Lytechinus pictus: one gene and its partners. The main gene of each other region encodes a partner of the protein of the gene in region 3 in a complex. Links are inferred from orthologs where the notes say so. Each region holds a gene or a part of one and is shown on either strand. Other genes may lie near its edges. The genes, in order: serine/threonine-protein phosphatase 4 regulatory subunit 4-like, serine/threonine-protein phosphatase 4 regulatory subunit 2-like and serine/threonine-protein phosphatase 4 regulatory subunit 1-like.

Region 1 (6,742 bases), on a different chromosome or scaffold from region 3:
TTTCTGTACTTTTTGCGTTTTAAGTTTCTGCCGATATTTTGGTAGCAAGTGTATTACGTTATGATCCGAAAGTCCTATTCCAGGTCGAATTACGGTCTTATAGGAATCTTTAACAGAACAATAACATCTATCCAATATATTCCCTTCTCGTGTCGGCTTGTCAATTACTTGACAATAGTTCGGCAACATAGCTTCCAGTCTACAGTGATTAAAATCACCGAGTACAATTTTGGGGGAGTCCCGTGATTCAGCTTCCATCTCCCTAACTTTATTTTGAATAAGCTGTTCTGCTTCATTTTGATTAGCATCGGGAGCAATGTAGACCAGAAATAAATGAACTTGGGGAAATTCTCTGGGCAAGTAGAACGGGCGAAGTGACACACATAGCATTTCCAGATTTTCGTTGCATATAGAATTTTTAATTGTAAAGTTCGTACACCATCTATCATTTACATAGAGACATATCCCACCACCGCGTCTTTTCTTGGTTTGTTGAAATGAACGATCCAATCTCGCTACATTAAAACCATCTATTCGTATACAATCGTCATTAATGTCAGGGTTTAGCCATGTCTCTGTAAAACATATTATACTCGAATTCCGGAAATCATTAATGTAACTTGTTAGGGCTTGAATCTCATCCAGTTTATTGTACAGTGAACGGACGTTGCTTAGTGTAATTGCAGGTAATGGGGGTCTGTTTCCCCTTTTCCGAATTCTGTTGCGGATCCCTCCGCGTTTCCCTCTCCGCTTTTGCTGAGGTATGCCATTATCATCCTCGCGGGTCGGTGTCCATTCTGGGAGATTCAATGGGCTAGACTTGGACGTTGTGTAGTCGGCTAGGTAATACAAGTATTCTCGCGAATACTTGATAGTAGTAGTCTGTCCGGGTGATGCATATACATGACTATTTTGTGGTAGAACGATTACGAAAAGTAGCACAAAACATACCCAGATGCACGAGATGGATTTGACGAACATGATGACATAAACATAACTTCAAAGACAAATCACGAAATCCGGAAAATAAGCGACAAAAACAGAGACAAAATACCATGTAACAGGTCGCCGTAGTACAGCGCCCTAAGAATGATTTATGTCTATCCCTCTTCTACATGGAGTTGGTTTCTACTTTTGGTATTCCCTAAATTGCCCTAATGTCACTGGCCCACATATGAAAATGGAGGTAAAAAAAGGCTTTACCTCCATGATATGAACATATATATCCCGAAACTTGTACATGTATGATGTGGATGATAGAGAATTTCTAGATGCACATGTACTGTACAGTGTCTGTTACAATTTTACAGGAATTATCATTTGGCGAGGTGCCATGTCAAAATAAAAGTATGTGAATGTAATTTTTACCAGTATATAAAACCACATACAAGTGTGGATTTGGCTGAAAATGTCAGGATGTATTTTCAGGTATACAATCACTATCTCTGTAAGATAAGTGTTCCAAAATGTTTTTATTTTTAAAAAAGAGAAATAAAAAAACAGTACCAAGAGCTAAAAAGAGCGCTACATAGATATCCAGAAATTCAAAATTCATTTTTTTCTCAAAGAATCAACAGCTTAAAAGCTATTCAACAGCCACTGCAATGTTATTAAGATTGGAATGCAAGATGAAAGTGAAGAATAATTCACATTGTTGACCATTATGATAACAAAGCTTTAGATGGGCTTTCATATTTTGTCACTTTAGAGCACATCCACACAAAGTTAACTACATGTAAATGTTAATCATCTTGTTTTCTTTTACTTTTGGTGAATTTGCATTTTCTGTCAGGACCTTTAACACATGATGCAGCTACTTTGAATCGAAATATATTCTCTATCTCAAAGTCTTATATCTACATGTGTTTGTGAAAATCACAAAGTGCTACTTCATATTAAAGTAAAAACTGTCTTTTTCATGATGATAAAAACATTCACAGACATAGAAAAGTATATGTTGGCTCAGTTGGAATAAACTAAATAAATAATCTATAAAATGGAAAAAGGACTGTGATATGTTTGTTGGTAAGGGTTTGGCATTCAAATAGGCAGCTTATCCACACTCAGCATACTTGTTGAAGCTGGTATAGGGCTTTCTGCGACATCATTGGAGCGTCAAACCCGCCTTTGAAATGACAGCCCCATTGATACTAGGTATTCTCATTGTTCACAATAATCAATACCATCCCATTTCACCTGTAGAAATACAATGCTACTTGACTCTATTCAGATTCTTCATAATCAACTGGAGGTACTTCTTGGATATTAAAGTGTGTGACCTCATGAAAATAATACCTGGTGGGTGTTTCATAAAGCTGTTCGTAAGTTAAGAGCGACGTTAAGAATGACTGGTCAACCTCTCTTATGCACTATATAATCACCAATGAACATTTAATGGTTAATATCATTTACCACAAAAAAGGATCACCAGTCATTCTTTAAGTCACTCTTAACTAACGAATAGCTTTATGAAACAGCCCCAGATGCAGTCTGAGTGAGAATGAAATGAACATAAATGCCCAACTGAGATGGCAATTTAGATTTATTTTCATCTTTCATGATTGAGACCTTGGTCTCGTAAAACAAATTGAATCGTACACTTGATTTTTACAATTGATTTTTACGATTGATCATACATTGTAGTCAATGCAATCAATCTTTAAAAAATTGGTTCTACGACCATTGCTAAGCTTTGAGTTACGGGCCCCTGGTGCCTGCATGTTTTCTTTAAATATTACAAACATGCTCGTGATCTACAAAAACTGAAACAAAATCCTCCTTGATATTTCCTGTAATCTTGTCCTTTTCAATTTGGGTATACAGTAAATTAAACTTGCATTTTTATAAGTCAGTATTATATGAGTCAAATATTCACCAAAGTCGAACCCATTTTGGAGACGAGGGCCCTGTCTTACAAAGAGATGCGATTGATCCGATCGACCAAAACGATAGAAAGCCAGCAACGCCAACATCTCAATGCATGTTTGATCATAATGTTTTATTGTTTTCTAGATCATCGTTGTCTTGACAATTCAGTGCGTTTCTCTGTTTACAGGCGGACATTTTGCAAATTTCCTGTGTGGCAAATTACATGACATTTATGGATCTCATATTTGAGGTTGATTGGATCAATCACAACTTGTAAGACTGGACCCAGATTATGCACATGTTATTCCTCTTAAGTTGAATTTCTCCCAAGTCAAACCAATTTTTGTGGTCGTAATAGAGTCAACTCAGACAAAGTTACATGTACTTTGTAGAAAGATGGATACAAACTGATCTCCTCTACATCAATCTTTTGCTTCTTTTAGGGACATTTAACATTCTATTTGACAAGGACCCTTGAAGTAAAAGAGAGATGTGAAAATTGTGCCTAGTAATCAACTTAATTCTTGTCATGTTCTGTCATATATTCTAGAAATACGTTCTGTAGATAAGGTACTGTTCTCTGTGCAATTTTATATATTTCTTCATTTCAATGCCAGCTTTCATGATATTACCAATTTATAATCATAATAATGGGGATGATGTCTTATTGAATTACAGCTCTGGGCAAGAAGTGCAACGATTAAGTGTCATTCAGAACCTACCCAACCTCCTAAAGAACAATAATGTTGATGCTATGCGCAGAGTAGTACCCAAAGTCAGGGTAAGTTTAGTAATTGCCGATTGGGGGTTGTTGTATTTGTGAATGTAGAGTTTTTCTAATCATTACACAAAAACATAATTTACAGGCAAAGGAAATTTGAAATGCTCTTGCTCATGAAAAAGACTATATAAACATGTGGCTGTACATGAACATTAGATTGTATAAAATATTGAAAGATAGTAGGCCTATTCATGTAGAGTATAGCAAGCTGTGCATTTTGTTTTAAAAGAATGTGAGGAATGCTAAATCTGATTACATGAAGGCCTACATGATCAAACAGGAAATAAATTTTGTTGAAGGCCTGCTATTATGAAGCCGTTATAAAAAATACCCGCAGCCTTCCAAACTAGGGAACTGCTCCTAGATGCTATTGAAGGTACTGTACGGTATACCAGAGTCTTTGGAACTTACCTGAGAGTGGTACTACAATATGTCCATGTTTGTGATTACAACTTTATCAGATAGCAATGTTGGAAAGCAAATATTGGCATTCCATAGAGATATGGTAAGTGTCAAATGGGTGTGATATTAAGGGAGTGGTATATATATTTGAATGCCTTATTAGATTGATTAGCAATTTAAAGCCGTTTTCAATGTGATGGTTATCAATTCTTTCTATCTGAAATAAATGCTCTTCTGTATATTAAGGGTGTGTATTGCATCACGTAAAATGCCATTATGATTTACGTTAGTTTGACATTGTTGAGTTGACCCCCCCCCCCCCCGCCAATCCTTTTTTGGTCTAATTTATGCATTTCTATGATTCCTTTGTAGGATGTATTACACTTAGCGAGCCAAGACCTCCAGGAGGCAGCAGCAGCAGCGTTTGTGAAGATAGCGGAGGACCAATCAGTGCCACACCTAACCTATGCACAGACATTCCTACAGACGATCTTACAGAATGCTGATAATAGAGACCCAGGTCAGTTTCATACAACACAATACAATTGATATCTCCACCATGACTGTTTGACAGCACTTTACAAAGAATCAAATACTCCTAGAGCATTTTGAATGAGGATTAATTATTAATGATTTCAGTTGACTTTACTGTTTCTTTCAGAGAAGCCATCATAATTTCCGCTCAATTTATGTTGCATAAAGAGACAAGTTTGGTTTAGAACTGTGAATGAATTCACTATTGAGTTCTTAAGAATTTCAAAACTTTGTTTTTCAATGCAACCTGAGCTGTATTTGGCAGATAGTTTTTGTATAAATATAAGAAGTTTCCACTGTAAATGTAATTTTTATTACATTTATTATTACTTAATACAAACCATCCTGTGTAAAATTATAACAAATATTTTTATGAAACACCACTCAAAACTTTGTTAACAAATCTAATATCCATAGAGTTGTATTTGAATTAAGATGAATTAAGATGATATTCAGTTTTTAAAATTGACTGCAGTACATAGGGAGTCACTGAGATGGTACATGTATGTGTTCTAAAATGATGATTCATTCATCAAAAGAATATTGATTTCATGTGTGAATAGACTTATCTTCTTGAGACGCTATGAGCTTCTGTTGAATTAGAAAACAGATCAATACCAACACTGTCTACCAACTCCTGTAGAAAACCCAGCGAGTATAAGCTTTGTACACTCATATCAACTGAAATATTTTTTTGGTTTTACTTTTGTGTAGATACTTTATATTCCTGTGGATTCCACTTAAAAGAATGAAAGACTAAGATTATTAGCGTACACTAATAGTGTTAACAGAATACTTGTATTATTATATTTTTATTTGTAGATATTTCTGATTCCTGGTTAGAAGTCTTACTCAACGTCATTACACACCTTCCAAAGGATGTCCTCAAGAAAGATGTAAGAAAACAAGATTTTATTCAAACACATTCCCTTAAAATTTGTTGTAAGCTTTACTATACGCTCTGAATTACATGGATTTGAAATAAATCCAGATTGGCTCTTCAATATTGATCAATCAAACTGTGGATTTGATTTGAATCCTATAAAGATTTATTTTTGAATCTCAAAGGATTTAAATTCAAATCTGTACAGATTGAATCTAAATTCAGTATTTAGCCGATCCGGATTTATTTTAGATTCATGAAATTAAAAGTGGATTTGATGACTGCTTTCAGAGGGGGGGGGGGGGCAGAGGTGTTTCATGAAGCTGTTAGTAAGTTAAGAGCGACTTTAAGAATGACTGGTGATCCTTTCTTACACGCTAAACCATCGTCTATGCACTCTATGAACATTTTGGTGTATTCAATTTACCGCAAGAAAGAATCACTAGTCATTCTTAAAGTCGCTCTTAACTTACGAACAGCTTTATGAAACACCCACCAGGCATGATGTACAAATGCTTTTGATGGTGGGGTGTTTTAGATAATGCATTGATTGCTAGAGGCTTGATAGAGGAACTAGCCCCTAGGGGCCCTCTTTCATATCCCAAGAACAAGATGATAAAAAGTATTAATAGAATGGGCAGTATGCAAATGAGGGATTTGATGATGTGACATGCTTATTATTTCTTTTACATTTTATTTTATGAAATATCAAATATTTAACTTTTACTTGATTTGATGACAAGAAGATCTTTGGTAAATCAAAATGAATGATAACGATGACAATTGTAAAAATGTATAGTTCCATGAGGAATCACATTAAATTTGTGTGTTTGCTCAGTTGGTAGAGCATCCGTCTTACAACTGGGTTGTCAGGAGTTCAAACCTGGCTGCATCAGACCGTTGAAAGATGGGAGTTTCTGCTACCCTGTTTGGCGTTCAACGATTAAAGGGATAGAGCCATGTCGATCTGGCGCTGCACAGCGGCTGCCGCGCCCACAATCAATTGGGCTCAGCAAATTTTCAGAGTATTTCATTTCATGTCTATTTCGGATGATAAAATATGGGTTCTTGGATTCTTTAAACAAATTTTACATTATTAGGGGGAAAATCTGAGGTATTTCACATTTCTGATAATAAAATATCTAAATAGGGAGTGTGTGACATCATGAGCTTTAATATTTTTTTATATTGCCTATAGATACGATGAATATCACTGTTTTTGTGGAAATAAGCAAACGTTATAAAGACCATATAAGTTGTTTTTGTTTTGTCTT
Region 2 (6,742 bases), on a different chromosome or scaffold from region 3:
CTAACATGTCATGTGAATTTGCTCCGTTCTGCCTGCATATCAATGGCTTTTTAAGGTTTGGTTTGTTTTTTTATTATACATTACCATAAGAATTACCATGGCTCAACTTGCCCCATGTTGGCTGGCACAAATTACCCCAGTCCGAACTTAATGAGATATTTTCACATCCACATATTTCTTATGCATCCACCATGTAAAAGACTATGACAAGAATCCATACCTGGACTAACAATATTGTTCTTATTTCTTTGTTATATTTAATTACGTGTGTGGGTAAAAAACTGCTCTATTTCACACCCTATTTTACTTTTTTGGCTGAAATTTGTATTTTTCCTCTAAAAAAGTACTTTTTGTTTCAAAGTTGAAAAATGTGGTGGGGTTAGGTTTATGTATTGGGTCATCAATGCATGACACCACCACAATGTCTGACTCATTCATTATTGGCCTGGGGGGTGGTGGCTAAACTTGCCCCTATGCTCAACTTACCCCGCCTTCCCCTAATAATCAACTACAAATTGCATACAATCACACCTATCCTATTCTTATACTATTCATTAATATTATTTCTGAAAGCAGCTTATTATAATACAATAAGTTATATGACTAGTTTAAACCGGATTTGCTCCTACCGAATGTCTTTTATCTTCTTACACTTAATGAACTGTTTTGTTTATTATATTTTCGTTGATCATAATTTAACCAAAGATGAACATGTATTGTAATCATAAATTATGTTGTAAATATTTTTATATTATTGCTCGTTGACAAGTAGCATCCAATATCATTTTGTACTGATCTTTCATATCACCATAGGATGTTTTTCATGTATATTTATGCATTTTATGTTATGCAGGGCCTCCTAGTATAACAGTTTTGTAACTACTGATGGGGCTACCTTGTTAAATAAAAATGAAATATAAAAATGAAATAAGCCTTTTGAAATTTTTAAGTCTTACAGAGTACAAAGTATGTTAGTTTTCTGAAACGAAATGGCTCAAGCAATGTAGTACTTACATGTACGCACTCAGAAATTACAAGAAATGTAAGGCAACAGTACATAGTGTTGCACTGACTTCACATAAAATAGAAAAATGTAGAAATTTCTTAAATCTTGCATTTTTTATATTTTGCAGAGCCCCTACATGTATGACAACGATACTTAAAAAATTAAAGTCAACCATAAATTTGGTAAAAACAAATAAAATCTAGAAATAATACATTACTGCATGTTTCATAATTTCTTGCATTACTACATAAATGTACATGTAACATCCCTTATAGTGTAGGAAAACACTGTACAAGAGGGCGCCAGGAGATTTCGCCCTCATGACAGCCAAAATTGCCCCTAAAATTCCCCAAAAATGCATGTTTTGGGGTGACCATTCTTTCTAGAGTTGCTCCAAGACCTGTCACAAACAATATTCAAGATAATAGAATATCAGTATAAGTATTCTAACTATTGCGGAATTAATGATTTTTGCATTTACTACATAATTGCTTTTTACCACTAAAAAGTACAAAATAGCCCCCTTAATTCTACAGTCACCAAAATGTGGAAATAAAAAGATGGCCGCCCCAAAAATAAAAATAAATAATTTCCTACATGTACCCTGATCCCTTATGTGCATGTACATGTACATGTACATATATGTTCTTAGGATATAGGTATACCGGTAAAACATTTTAAAGTATTTTTTATAGTACTGTACATGTATTTACATTCCATAATGTACACAATTGTACCCATCACTAATTACTATCACCACCATAATCATTACCACTCCCATCACCATGATCATTATCACCATTGCTATCATCATGATGATCATCATTAATCCTACAAGTACAATGAGTATATGTATGATCATTAACCAACATTATCAATTTAATACAACATGACATCATTGGAGATGTGAGAAAATGTTTAGTTTTTTCTCACATGAACCAACAAAATGCTTCAGAGATTCTTAATACATTTTAGGAGTGTTTGAAAGTCACTGAATTGTGCTACTAGTATCAGAATAATGTATTACTTAACCTAATCAATAAAGGACAGGTCCACCCCAACAAAAGTTTATTTCACTTATCTTTAATAATACTACACACACTGTTTAACTTTCTGAGACGTGTGATTGGTATCGCAGCAAATTCTACAGTGGAGTAACTAAAATTGCAAATAATACAAACAGAAAAAATGGATGACCCCATGGATAACACCTATTTGGGACAATTAATTCAAGCAAAAAAATTGAGAAATCCTGATCTGATAGTCCCTAGTAGACGGGTACCATTATTTTCATAGCTCTACTTGGTTGATTTATTGTTTAGGAATATAGTATCATGTGCAAGTTTTGACATCTAGATAAGGAATACTAGTAAAGGCCTGAAAAGTGCTTGATATTCAGTCTTTGGTGACACTTACGTTTTTCTTTTAATAGCGATCCACCAGTCTGGAATAAATTGCACTGGTGACCGATGGCCTCAGGTGGGCACCGGTGAACCGCCCAGTACAACGAGCCTACAGGTACTTATCGTTCTTTTTTACTCCAATTTCTAAACGAAATTATAGTCGGTAATTAACCTGTATTCCATCAACCCCTCTTTCCCTGTCTCTTCAAAACCACTGCCAATTTTACCCAGTTGGCTATCCACAAAATAGATCAATTTAAACTGTATATACTCATCATTTCTTTTAATCCACGTTTTCAACAAAATTACATTCAGTAATTAACCTGTCCACCAACCCCTGTTTTCTCTTCTTTTTAAAACTACTCTGCCACTTTTAGACAATTAGCAATCCACTATACTATTCAATAACAAAAATGGCCGATCGAGACGGGGGTAGAAGGAGAGAACTTTTCGTTTTTTGAGGTTCCAGTCTGTGCCCAGATGTCAGGAAACTGCCACTCGTTAGACCTTCATCCATATAATCGTGGTAAGTGCATAATTTCTGTTTTCACAATTCATTTGGAGAAATATTTAGACCATAAATCACCCTAGTCCCGTGAGTATGGTAAAATACACGGTAAGCTCCTGCCCGCTGCGCGGGCCGGAGCTCCCTGGGTTACGGAAGAGCCAACATAACATTAACACTAGTCTTACAGAGTCAGAGACCGAAGCTTTTTGGTCTAAGTTAGCACACCGGACATACCGGTAACTCATATGTTCATAAGAAGGAAAAAAAAGAAGAAAAAGAGAGTGATAGAGCTTTTTAGAAGGGGGTTTTGGAAAAGTATTTTTTTTTCATTAGTGGAGGGGACATAAATTCAAAAGGAAGTCTTTCCTTTTTTTTTTTACTCTCGACTCTGCTCTGAATCCTGATCTGGCCAAAAAAAGCCAAGCCCAAGCCAGGCGACTAGCCGCTAGCGCTAGCGCTGGCGCGCGCCACAGTGCAGTACACTGCACTGAATGCGACTGCCTCGCAGTTTAGTTTAGCAAACGCAATCATACTCACAATGGTTCACCGTGGCGGGCTATCCTTTGAATCAACTGTTCCAGCACGGACGGGATACTTTTCGACGGCTTTTTCACGAAATCTGAAAAGATACAATGATTTGACACCATATTTAGAATGTTCCAAAACATATTTAGTTATAGTTTTGATTAATAACATTTCTGTAACTTACCGTTTAAAGCGTCTAAGTAGTTTTCAAGCTCAGCATCCCTTGACAAATCTTCCATTTTCACAGATTTCGAGTCAAAGTCTACTATACTACCTGTGTATAACAAATGCAGCGCTGAACTTGTTGATTTGTACATTTTACGGTTAAAGTCAGGCGATTCGTAATTTTACAGGGTAGCAGCGAAAGATACGACAGTCGTTGCGTAGGCCGCTTTTGGCCGTGGTTCGTACGACGACGACGAGGAGCTTCACAAATCTGTGCCAGTGCCACTCATGTGAAACTGAATAAATATATAGACTAGAAAATATATAAAACTTAAAAAATAAATGGGCATGGGTGTCGATCTCGGGACTGACGGTATCCCGGGGCAGGGGGTGACGAGGGGTAGTTTTGAAAGACTGGTCCGTCATGGTCAATCGCAGGGTCATTCATTTTCCGGGGTCATTTTAGGCCCGGATTTTAGGGTATGTTTTTTCCAAAGCTTTTTTTTTATACTATAGCCAAACGTGTTTAGGGTATTTTTTCCCCCAAGCATGGGCGGAAATCCCAGGGGGGACAGGGGGGGGGGGGACGTGTCCCCCTTACTCAAAATAGTAGGGGGGACACTAAATATCAAATGTCCCCCCACTATTTTTTTGGTCTTTTATGCCTGGAAAGAGATTCAAAATCGAAATAAAACATGTATATTTTAGGACGAGATGACCTTACTTTTGGGATGATCTTCTTTTTTTTTTGCTTGTCAAAATTATTTTCGTCGAAATGACCTTAAATTCGGGGTGTAACCTTCTTCTTTTTTTTTTTTTGCTTGTCAAATTTTTCAGCCCCTTGTCCCCCTACCTTTTGGGAGAGATTTCCGCCCCTGCTTTTCCCCGGGGTCATATTCTGGCGACAACTTGTTTAGGGGCCAAAATGTGCAAATAAAGCCCGCGAAAAACTTGTTTAGGGGGTTATTTTGAACACAGAGAAAAACTCGTATAGGGGGTGTTTGGAAATAATTTGGCCGCGCGTGTGTACATACAATATAATAACTGCCCCCCGGGCCTGTATACAGGGTACAACCCCCCCCCCTCCGTTTCAAGTGCATAAAGGGGGACAGAATAGGGGAGCCTATTATAATCTCCAGAATAAAAACATCGATTAGTTCAATAAGATCAATAAACAAATGACAACAAGAAATTAAAAAAGAAAGAAAAACAAAATTCGTGGAAAAATCAGTTAATCTTTTTTTTCTGAAGTTCAACAAAGTCTGTTTTAAAAACAGCTCAGAATGTACTCATCTGTATGTGATAAGTTAACTTGCCGATATAGGGTAATTTCATGAGCCATGAACAAATGTTTAGACCCTCTCTCATTTCGATGGATAAAAGCAAAATTGTTTTAACAAATGCATTTTATAAGTTCTTATTAATTTAGCAGAAGTTACAGTACACGAACTAGGTTGGGAATAAAGCTTCATCATTTTTAATAACACAATTTTTCCCTTTGCTCAGTGCTCACTAATGTAGTGAGATCAATCAATCAAGTATGCCAGCATTTGCAATTAAATCAATGGCAAATGCAATTCATATCACTTATCAACTAAAAAATTATATACTCTAGAATGATTATGTTACAAGGATTTGTAAAAATACATACATTACGGCTATGAATAGTGACCATGCAGTCGATTAGGATTTAAATATTGGTTAAATTTGGATTTGAAAATCAATCTTTAAGATCGATTTACATGCATTTAAATCTTTAAGAATTAATTTTAAATCCTAATATCGACTGGTCACTGTTCACAGTTATAATGGAATCATATTAAATCCCTGTCATTTTAGAGTGTACTATCCAATAGTAAGAAGATATTCGGGATGAGGATATGAGATAGAACGTAGCAGAGCGGAGTTAAAGGGGAATCTAGCCTTGGCCATAAAATGCTGTGTTGGGAAGGAGAAAAATAAATTAAACAGAATGGTGAAAGTTTGAAAGATATTGGACAAGCAATAAGAAAGTTATAGCTGCTTTAAAATTGAGATCAATAATAGTATGTAGATTTCAAATTGGCAACTTGGTAAGTAAATTATGACCATGCAGGGGTAAGGACAACTTTCCCATAGGCCGTGTACTTTATTATCAGGGATTTGTGGTTTTCTCCTAAGTACCAATTCCCCTGGGGCAGTAATCTAAATATAACCCAGGTAGTATATTGTTTTATGTCCTCATGAAAGAAAAATATATTTTGAAATAAAACTTTTGTGAAAAATGACATGTTAGTCATAATATGTATTGGAGTACATGGAAGAGTATAGTCCTTGCCTTCAGGCGCGTAGCCAGGGGGGGGCGGTGGGGGCGGTCGCCCCCCCCCAAAACGTCCCCAAAAAGAAAAAAAAAGAAGGGAAAAAAGAGAGGAAAAAAGGAAAAGGGAAGGGAGGAAAGGGAAGAAAGGTAGCTTTGTCGGTTTTTATACTTTTTATTTTTATTTTTTTCTCAAAAGAGAAACTCCTTCACTCTTCTTATAAATTTATATATGAATTTTGCTTCCGCGCTGCGCGCGGTTAAATGACCATATTGAAGTTCTCCATTGTTTCCCCCACCCTTTCTCTAACCCTGCTTTTCCACCTCAGCTATATGTGTTTCTTGCCAGTTAAAGTTCAAATGTATAGATTAGGGCATGGAATTAGAGTAAGGTTAGGCCGAAGTATATGAAGTTATCTTTTTTTTTTATTGATCGCGCAACTTCTGGTCGGGTCGGCTCCGGGCGGGTAAAATCTTTATATCTATTTCTGCCATCACCTCCATAAAGTCAACTTCTCCCGCTTTTCAGGTCATTACTAAACAACCATAATTTGGGGCAAACAGGTTCCTAATTTAAAAAGAGGAATGTATAAAATTCGTGTCGTATTAAATAAAAAAGTACAATATTTTTTTTCAAATTCTATTAATCTTCATGTTATTTCCCTGCACATTCATCTCCTGTCCTATTTTGCGCCCTCAGTTTGAAATTTTGAATGACACTTAGGTTTCTTCATAATTCAAAATGAAGCGCTTCAGGATAAGTCAAAGAAATTAGGCATCCTTTTTTATATAATTTTAATAAATCACAGAAGTTTCAACTTTTTGCGCACTATTTTCCT
Region 3 (6,742 bases):
TGAGAGCCATTTTTAGAATTTACAAAATAGGAGAAAATATAATTTGTATCCGTTTGATATATTTTTTACTGGTCATGTTGGACTAGTAAATCTGGCTATTTCTGAAAAGTTACTGGCCTGACAGCAATTTTTACTGGTCTGGGACAATCGGTGTCGCGTGTTGATTGACAGATCAATTCCATTTTCACACCAAAGTTTGTCGATTCATGTCGGAAAACCTCTAAAGTGTTTTTGCTCATAATCATATACATTTTTTTAAGTATAGTTTTTCCCCATAATTTTTACAAATTAACGGTACCTAAGTAGCAGGCAAAAAATTAATATCTATTTTCAGGAGCTACTTTTCCCAACCTAATGCCTGAATCTGTAACATCAGAGCCCCGTCTTACAAAGAGTTACGATTGATCCGATCAATCGCAACTATGGAAAGCTAGCAAAGTCAACATATAAAATGCATGTTTGTTCAAAAAAAAATTCTAGATATGAAAGCATATCCATAAATTCATTTATTTCTTGACAATTTGGTGTGTTCTCCTTTGTTTACAAAGGACATTTTGCAAATTTTCTGAAGAAAAAATTATGACACTAATGGATTTCCATAGAGTTACGATTGATTGGATCAATCATAACTCTTTGTAAGATGGGGCCCAGATAAGCATCAACATTGCAGAGAATGGGGATTTACAATAACACTTTTTTAGGGCTCTTTTGAGCATTTCAAGAGCAAAATTGCCTAGAATCTTGTGTATTTTTTTCTCTGCTAAGCATAATTTATCTTGAGTGTATCTGAGCAAAGCATTGAGATTCGATAGAAGAAAGAAAAAAAAAAAAAGAGCTGTTCAATCAGTACTGGTGATACCTTTCCTATACCAATCACTATGCAGGTAGGCATTCTAATAACAGGTAGAGCCCTTTTATAGACTATACTACTGTGTTACATTAAGGTTTTTGTGAAGATACACCATAGGGAGTTGTTTTTCACCTTTTATATTGACACGATATGATACTTTCTTTAATAGTCCTAGATTTAGGCTGACTGGTCTGTCAACTGGTCACAAACATGTCCGGAATGTCCCGCCTGAGAGACTCGAATCCTGGGGTTGTATTTCACAAAGTTTTAAGTGCGACTTAACTTAAGTCATCCTTAAATGTCTATGTGCACATGATAGTAACCAGCAATCTTATTGACAAATATGCAGTAATGTGCATCCTCTCAGCAAAATTAAACCAACTTGGACTTTAATACAACTATATTCACACCCCTTTCACTCTTTGTGAAACACCCTCATGGCCCCCCCCAAAATGTTCCAGTAATGCTCAAAACTAATAGTACTAGTACCGTCTTTGCAGAGAGCTTATCATCGTGTGGTTGGTATACTTTTTATTTCAGTTTCCTTACAAAAAAAATGACTTCCAAATTTTAACCCTGTATTTCAATTAAATGAATCAGGAGTGAGATTGGCATGCTGTCTTTATGCACGAACCGGACAAGGAAATGATTCATCGGTGTCTTAAACATCCTTTTGGGATGACAATTGTAAAATATTGTAGACACTGGCGATTTGGATGAGAAAGATCAGCAGGCCAAATCATGGATTTTAGTGAACCACCCAGGAAAAGTAAGTGTATGAAGAGGGGGGGCCCCATGTCTGTGCACCTAACTATTTAGTTAATGTTTAACATGAATTTATGTTCCTTATGTTCTTATCAGTGTGCCAAAAATCTCAAAAAAAAATTGAAAAGATAGATATTATGATTTTCTTTAAAAAAAACCTTGGCCAGTCATTTTCAGACTGAACAAAAAATGGTGCCCCCCGGTGCCCTTTGTCCGCGCACCCATTCACTTAACACACGATTCAGGGATTTTGATGAGAAAGGCTACAATTTGAGAACGTCACATGAATTTATGCCCAAAATTCATTATTTTCCACCATTTTGAGTAGGATCTTAAAAAAAAATCTATTGCATATGTAAAATTTGTGATTGTTGTGTACCTTCTTTTACTATAATCGCGCAGGTATGTGTGTGCGCAGACAAGGGGGACTGCGCAGACTTGGGGGACCTTACCATACAAGCAGATGACAAGTTACCTCAGGCGATGGTTCATGTAGGCTCCACTACGCCTGCGCCTAGGGCACTCTGCCGAGTGGATTAGGCGCATTACGAATCACATATTACTACAATTCACTACCGCTACCCTCTGCTACACCTACCCGAAACATGAATACTAGTTTGCTCTCGAAAACCAGTGACAAACTGTGTCAATTTTTGGTAAAAAAGGCAACCGTCATATAAAAAAAAAGACATTAAGCGTACTCTACAGTGACTAAACTTAGTTACTATCGGACACAGACTCACTCCTTGCACTTTCCTGTAAACGTCTCAAATTCGCAATTCACGTTCACCATTTTGGATTCAGCGGTGAATTAATACGTGTCACTGTCAGATAGGCTACTGCGAACCGGCATCAAATCGCCAATTTCGAAACGTTTACAAGAAAGGGCAAGGAGTGAGTCTTAAGATGGTTCGGGTAGGTGTAGCCGAGGGTAGCGGTAGTGAAGTGTAGAGGTGCGCAGGAGCCTACACGAACCATCGCCTGAGGTAACAAGTACGATGAATGGAGGTGGAAATATTAGGGAACCAATGTGTGTGACTGAATTAAGCGCTGCTGTACAAAGTGTACAGTGATTCTCTATATTTCATGATAATGCCGATCACCAACTGACCAAAAGCAAAAGTGAGATGTTTGTTAAGTCCACAGATAATGGCCACTTACGACAAACTCCCGAGTCGTAGGGCCGGAGTTTCCCGCAGTGGTTGGCTGCCACCATGACTGCCTGGCCCAGCCAGGCTAATCATCTAACGTTACTGCTAACATCGTTAAACGACGTTAGTCGTTACGTTAGAAAAGGGGACTCCACTCCAGCTCCATCTACCCAAACTTTCCAAAGCAAGTTTGGCCAAAAATCGACAACTCGACAACACTCAACAGACATGAAAGACAACAGACTGAACTGAACAGTATTTCTGCCAATACGTCTAATGTTAGAATCTATCTCTAACAATTATGCCTTCAATTTAGTGACACATGACTCATGAATTTCAGTAGCCGATAGATTGACAGTCACATTTGCATTGTCACTGCACAACACACTCGCTCAGTCATCAAGACACAGTCGTACACACATCACATCATCCGCGGTATCACGCCGGTTCGTTTCCTGCCAGAGGAATAACACACAAGAAACGGCCCATTCAAACATCTACCGGTACACCATATCTACCGCAGAGGCTCAGGTGGCCGTAAAAATCATCCACTTCTCAAATAGTCAAATATGGCACACAAATCTGTGAAAACAAAGTAAAATAAAACTTACAGTCTTGGGGATCTCCGTCAAAACTACCAGCAAGAAGGCTGAGATCTGAAATGACAGAAAATTTGAAATTAGTAGAATTTCGAGATACACCTTTTTACACGGAAGAAGGGTCATCGTTCGTAAATACTCACCCGCCATGATGAATAAAGCACGAGGTGGCTTTTTCAATTATTTGATTGGTTGAAAGCTATTAGTCTTTCACAGAGGAATTAAAATGACCATTATATTCCTCTATAATTTCACCCTTTTTGGGAGGAATAAAAAAAAAATTCAAATCATTTTACTTTTATCCATTGCAGGGGCCGCGGAAGCGGGGGGGGGGGGGGGGCTGGAAAATAATTTCTAATATTTCTCTTGTATACATGGTGAAACATGATTTAAACTCAGAGGCCGCGGAAGCGGGGGGCTAGGGGGGGGGGGGGGGCTTCACGCCCCCCCCCACTTTTTTTCCAAAACCGTGTACAAAAACGTAAAAATGATAATATGATTGTGATTTTTTGCATGGTCAGCCCAACGGTCAGCCCCCCACTTTGAAAACCGTTCCGCGGCCACTGCATTGTGTTGTGTTTTAAGTAGGCCTATAAATATCACAATCATAAATTCTGATAATTCCTTATAAGCTATAATAGCCCTAAATCATATTTAATTTGATTAATTTCCACTTAATTGGCTTTGACATGGACTCTCACATGATTTGCTTAATGTTAGTTGAGCCATATCTTGTGGGATTTTTCTATTTTTATTCAATCCTGAATATCAAAATATTTTGCGCTCTATTTAGTCTTATTTGACATAAATGTACATGTAGGCTGCTAGACCTTGGACTCACACGGGTACGGGGGGGGGGCACAGCCGGCCCGTGCCCCCCTTGAGATGCAAAATTAAAATTTGTAATGTAAAAATGCCGTTAAAACAGAAGTGTGCCCCCCCCAACCTTGAAAGTGAAGACTTTTTTTTGCTTGTCAAATTTTTTCGAGGATGAAATATCATTAATTCTTGGTTGAGAACTTTTTTTTTTTTGCTTGTCAAATTTTCCTCGGAAATATGTGCCCCCCCCCCCATTAGAAAATCCTGGATCCGCCCCTGCTTGGACTATCCCTTAGATCTTCAGATCAGGATATCATGTTCAGCTTGGCTTTGCTCTCACATAATAAGGAGATCGCCACCCTTTTCTTGATAACAGAATATTCTTAGAATATAACTAAAAAAAAAGACAAGAAAAGAAATCAGGTGTTCCATGATTATACTGTATAGTCTTCACAAGTGAGATTATGTCTGCTCTTCACGAATTCCTAAAAACAGTCCTTAAAATGTCACTTTTTCTGGTCAGAATATCAAAAAATTCAGCTCGCGCTTCGTGCTCTCATCATTCGGTCAGTAGTGAAGTACGTATGGTCTTAGTGAATTCCTACAAGCAAACATTAGAATGCACCTTTTCACGTCTGAATAAAAAAAATCAGCTTGCGCTCGCAATATTTGATTAGTGAGATATGAAGGCCTATCATGGTCATGATTACAATGACTACAAAAAGTGTTTCATGGGTTAGGTGTAATTCTAACAAAATCAGCAAGCGCTTGCATGGCGCTCGCATTAAATGACTATGTTGAGACATGTATGCTCTTCATGAATTCCTAAAACGTATAGTTCTTAAAATGTACCTGTTTGGGGAAAATATATACCCAAAAAAAATCAGCTAGCGCTTCGCGCTCGCATAGTTCGTCTTGTGAGAGAGGTAGGTATCATGATTACAAAAATGTGCTTATAATGTCAATTTTTTAGGTCTGAATAACAAAAAATCAGCTTGCGCTTCGCATTTTTGTATCAGTGATATACATATCCGTTTAATGGCACACTCTTTACAATGTCTCTATTAGGTCATAACTGACAATTGATCGCGCTTCGCGCGCCCACTAAGTGACTCAAAATTTTTACTGGTGCCCCCCCCCCCCCAATGCCGTGACCCACGGTACGCCACTATAATCCTTCATGTTCAATATAGTGCTTAAAATAGTCCTTAAATATTATTGTCTTTTCTAGATCGGAATAGTAAACAAAATCAGCTCGCGGATTTGCGCTTCACACGCATAATTAGTTTGGAAGATACCCATCATTTTCATGATGATATAAATTGCGCTCCCGATTGCACTTAGAATACCTCATTCAAAGGAAAGAAAGAAACAGCTCGCACTCGCATTTGGTATTCCGATACACAACTTCTTCTTTAAATAAAAATACTGTTAGGAAGATAGGGCTACCAATCCTTTTCATAATTGCGAAATGTAATAGAGTCATATTGGGCGCCCTGTTCTGTTTTCCACCAACGAGTACTGAGAGCTAACATGTACTTACCAATATCAAACCACTTCTAAAAAATGCAGTCCCCTTTAGAGGATGGATTAAAAAAATCAGCTAGTCTATGCGCTCTCATTAATTATTATGATAGATACGCAACATTTTCAAGATCACAAAATCACGCAGAAAATTTAACCAAAATCAGATGTAAAGTATGAAAGTTATGATGCTTTAAAATTTCGCTTATTATTCACAAAATAGTTATACAACCCCGGGTGCACAATCCGATATTCATAATAAAGTGAGAGACTCGATGACGTCCGTCACTCACTATCTATTTGTTTCTTATTGTTTGAATTATACACTATTGAGATTTTTACATTAACAATAAGGGCCAACTTGAGAGAACCACAAAATGTTAAAACAATAATGCCACGTACACGTTCAGGAGGAAAAAGAAACTTTTGTTTCACTTGACAATGAGGAGAAAATTTAAGTATTAAATAATTCATGTAATAAACTACAAAAGAAAATAGTAAGAGATGGGTAATGTCGTCAGTCTCCTCAATTGCATACCGACAAGGATTTGAATATAACTGTTTTGTGAAATTAAGCGAAATTTTGAAAAGTCATAACTTTCTTTTTAATATTTTACATCCGATTTTGATGAAATTTTCAGTATTATTTTCCTTTTGTTGGGGTGGAGTATTACTTTTTGCAAATACAGAACAATTATATATAAAACAAAATATTAGATAGAAGCAGTATCCCTGATCCCCAAAAGGACATTTGAGCCTGAGGATAAACTTTAATCTTCTCGACCTGTGGGCCTCGTAATGCTTTCCGTTGAAGTAAGACTTGATCAAAGACTACACATGAGAAGGCTGCAAAATCGATCTCACTGCATAGCGTACAGTCGACATAGCAACTAACGAAGTCGTCTGCTCGTTGACATTTGAGAGAGTTTGAAAGTAGGGGCGAAGATTAATATTTTCGAAGAAAGGATGTATCCCGGGGATGTATTCCTAAATCTCTGATATAAATATAGCAGGACAATGAACAGCTCTTCTTC

The links.
Region 1: serine/threonine-protein phosphatase 4 regulatory subunit 1-like (region 3) and serine/threonine-protein phosphatase 4 regulatory subunit 4-like share a complex: the UniProt entries of both Homo sapiens proteins name them as parts of the PP4 complex. The link is inferred for Lytechinus pictus from reciprocal best matches to the Homo sapiens genes PPP4R1 and PPP4R4.
Region 2: serine/threonine-protein phosphatase 4 regulatory subunit 1-like (region 3) and serine/threonine-protein phosphatase 4 regulatory subunit 2-like share a complex: the UniProt entries of both Homo sapiens proteins name them as parts of the PP4 complex. The link is inferred for Lytechinus pictus from reciprocal best matches to the Homo sapiens genes PPP4R1 and PPP4R2.

What each region holds. Positions count from the first base shown.
Region 1 is NC_087251.1:41,440,220-41,446,961, forward strand, and holds the start of serine/threonine-protein phosphatase 4 regulatory subunit 4-like, read left to right. Parts: upstream 1-3,550; 5' UTR 3,551-3,622; coding exon 3,623-3,649; intron 3,650-4,423; coding exon 4,424-4,571; intron 4,572-5,407; coding exon 5,408-5,481; intron 5,482-6,742. UniProt on the Homo sapiens protein: Putative regulatory subunit of serine/threonine-protein phosphatase 4.
Region 2 is NC_087247.1:51,603,961-51,610,702, reverse strand, and holds the start of serine/threonine-protein phosphatase 4 regulatory subunit 2-like, read right to left. Parts: upstream 4,113-6,742; 5' UTR 3,760-4,112; coding exon 3,627-3,759; intron 3,537-3,626; coding exon 3,455-3,536; intron 1-3,454. UniProt on the Homo sapiens protein: Regulatory subunit of serine/threonine-protein phosphatase 4 (PP4). May regulate the activity of PPP4C at centrosomal microtubule organizing centers.
Region 3 is NC_087246.1:66,575,517-66,582,258, forward strand, and holds the start of serine/threonine-protein phosphatase 4 regulatory subunit 1-like, read right to left. Parts: upstream 3,759-6,742; 5' UTR 3,516-3,758; coding exon 3,509-3,515; intron 3,423-3,508; coding exon 3,378-3,422; intron 1-3,377. Other genes in the region: CAP-Gly domain-containing linker protein 2-like, read left to right, coding at 6,726-6,742. UniProt on the Homo sapiens protein: Regulatory subunit of serine/threonine-protein phosphatase 4. May play a role in regulation of cell division in renal glomeruli. The PPP4C-PPP4R1 PP4 complex may play a role in dephosphorylation and regulation of HDAC3.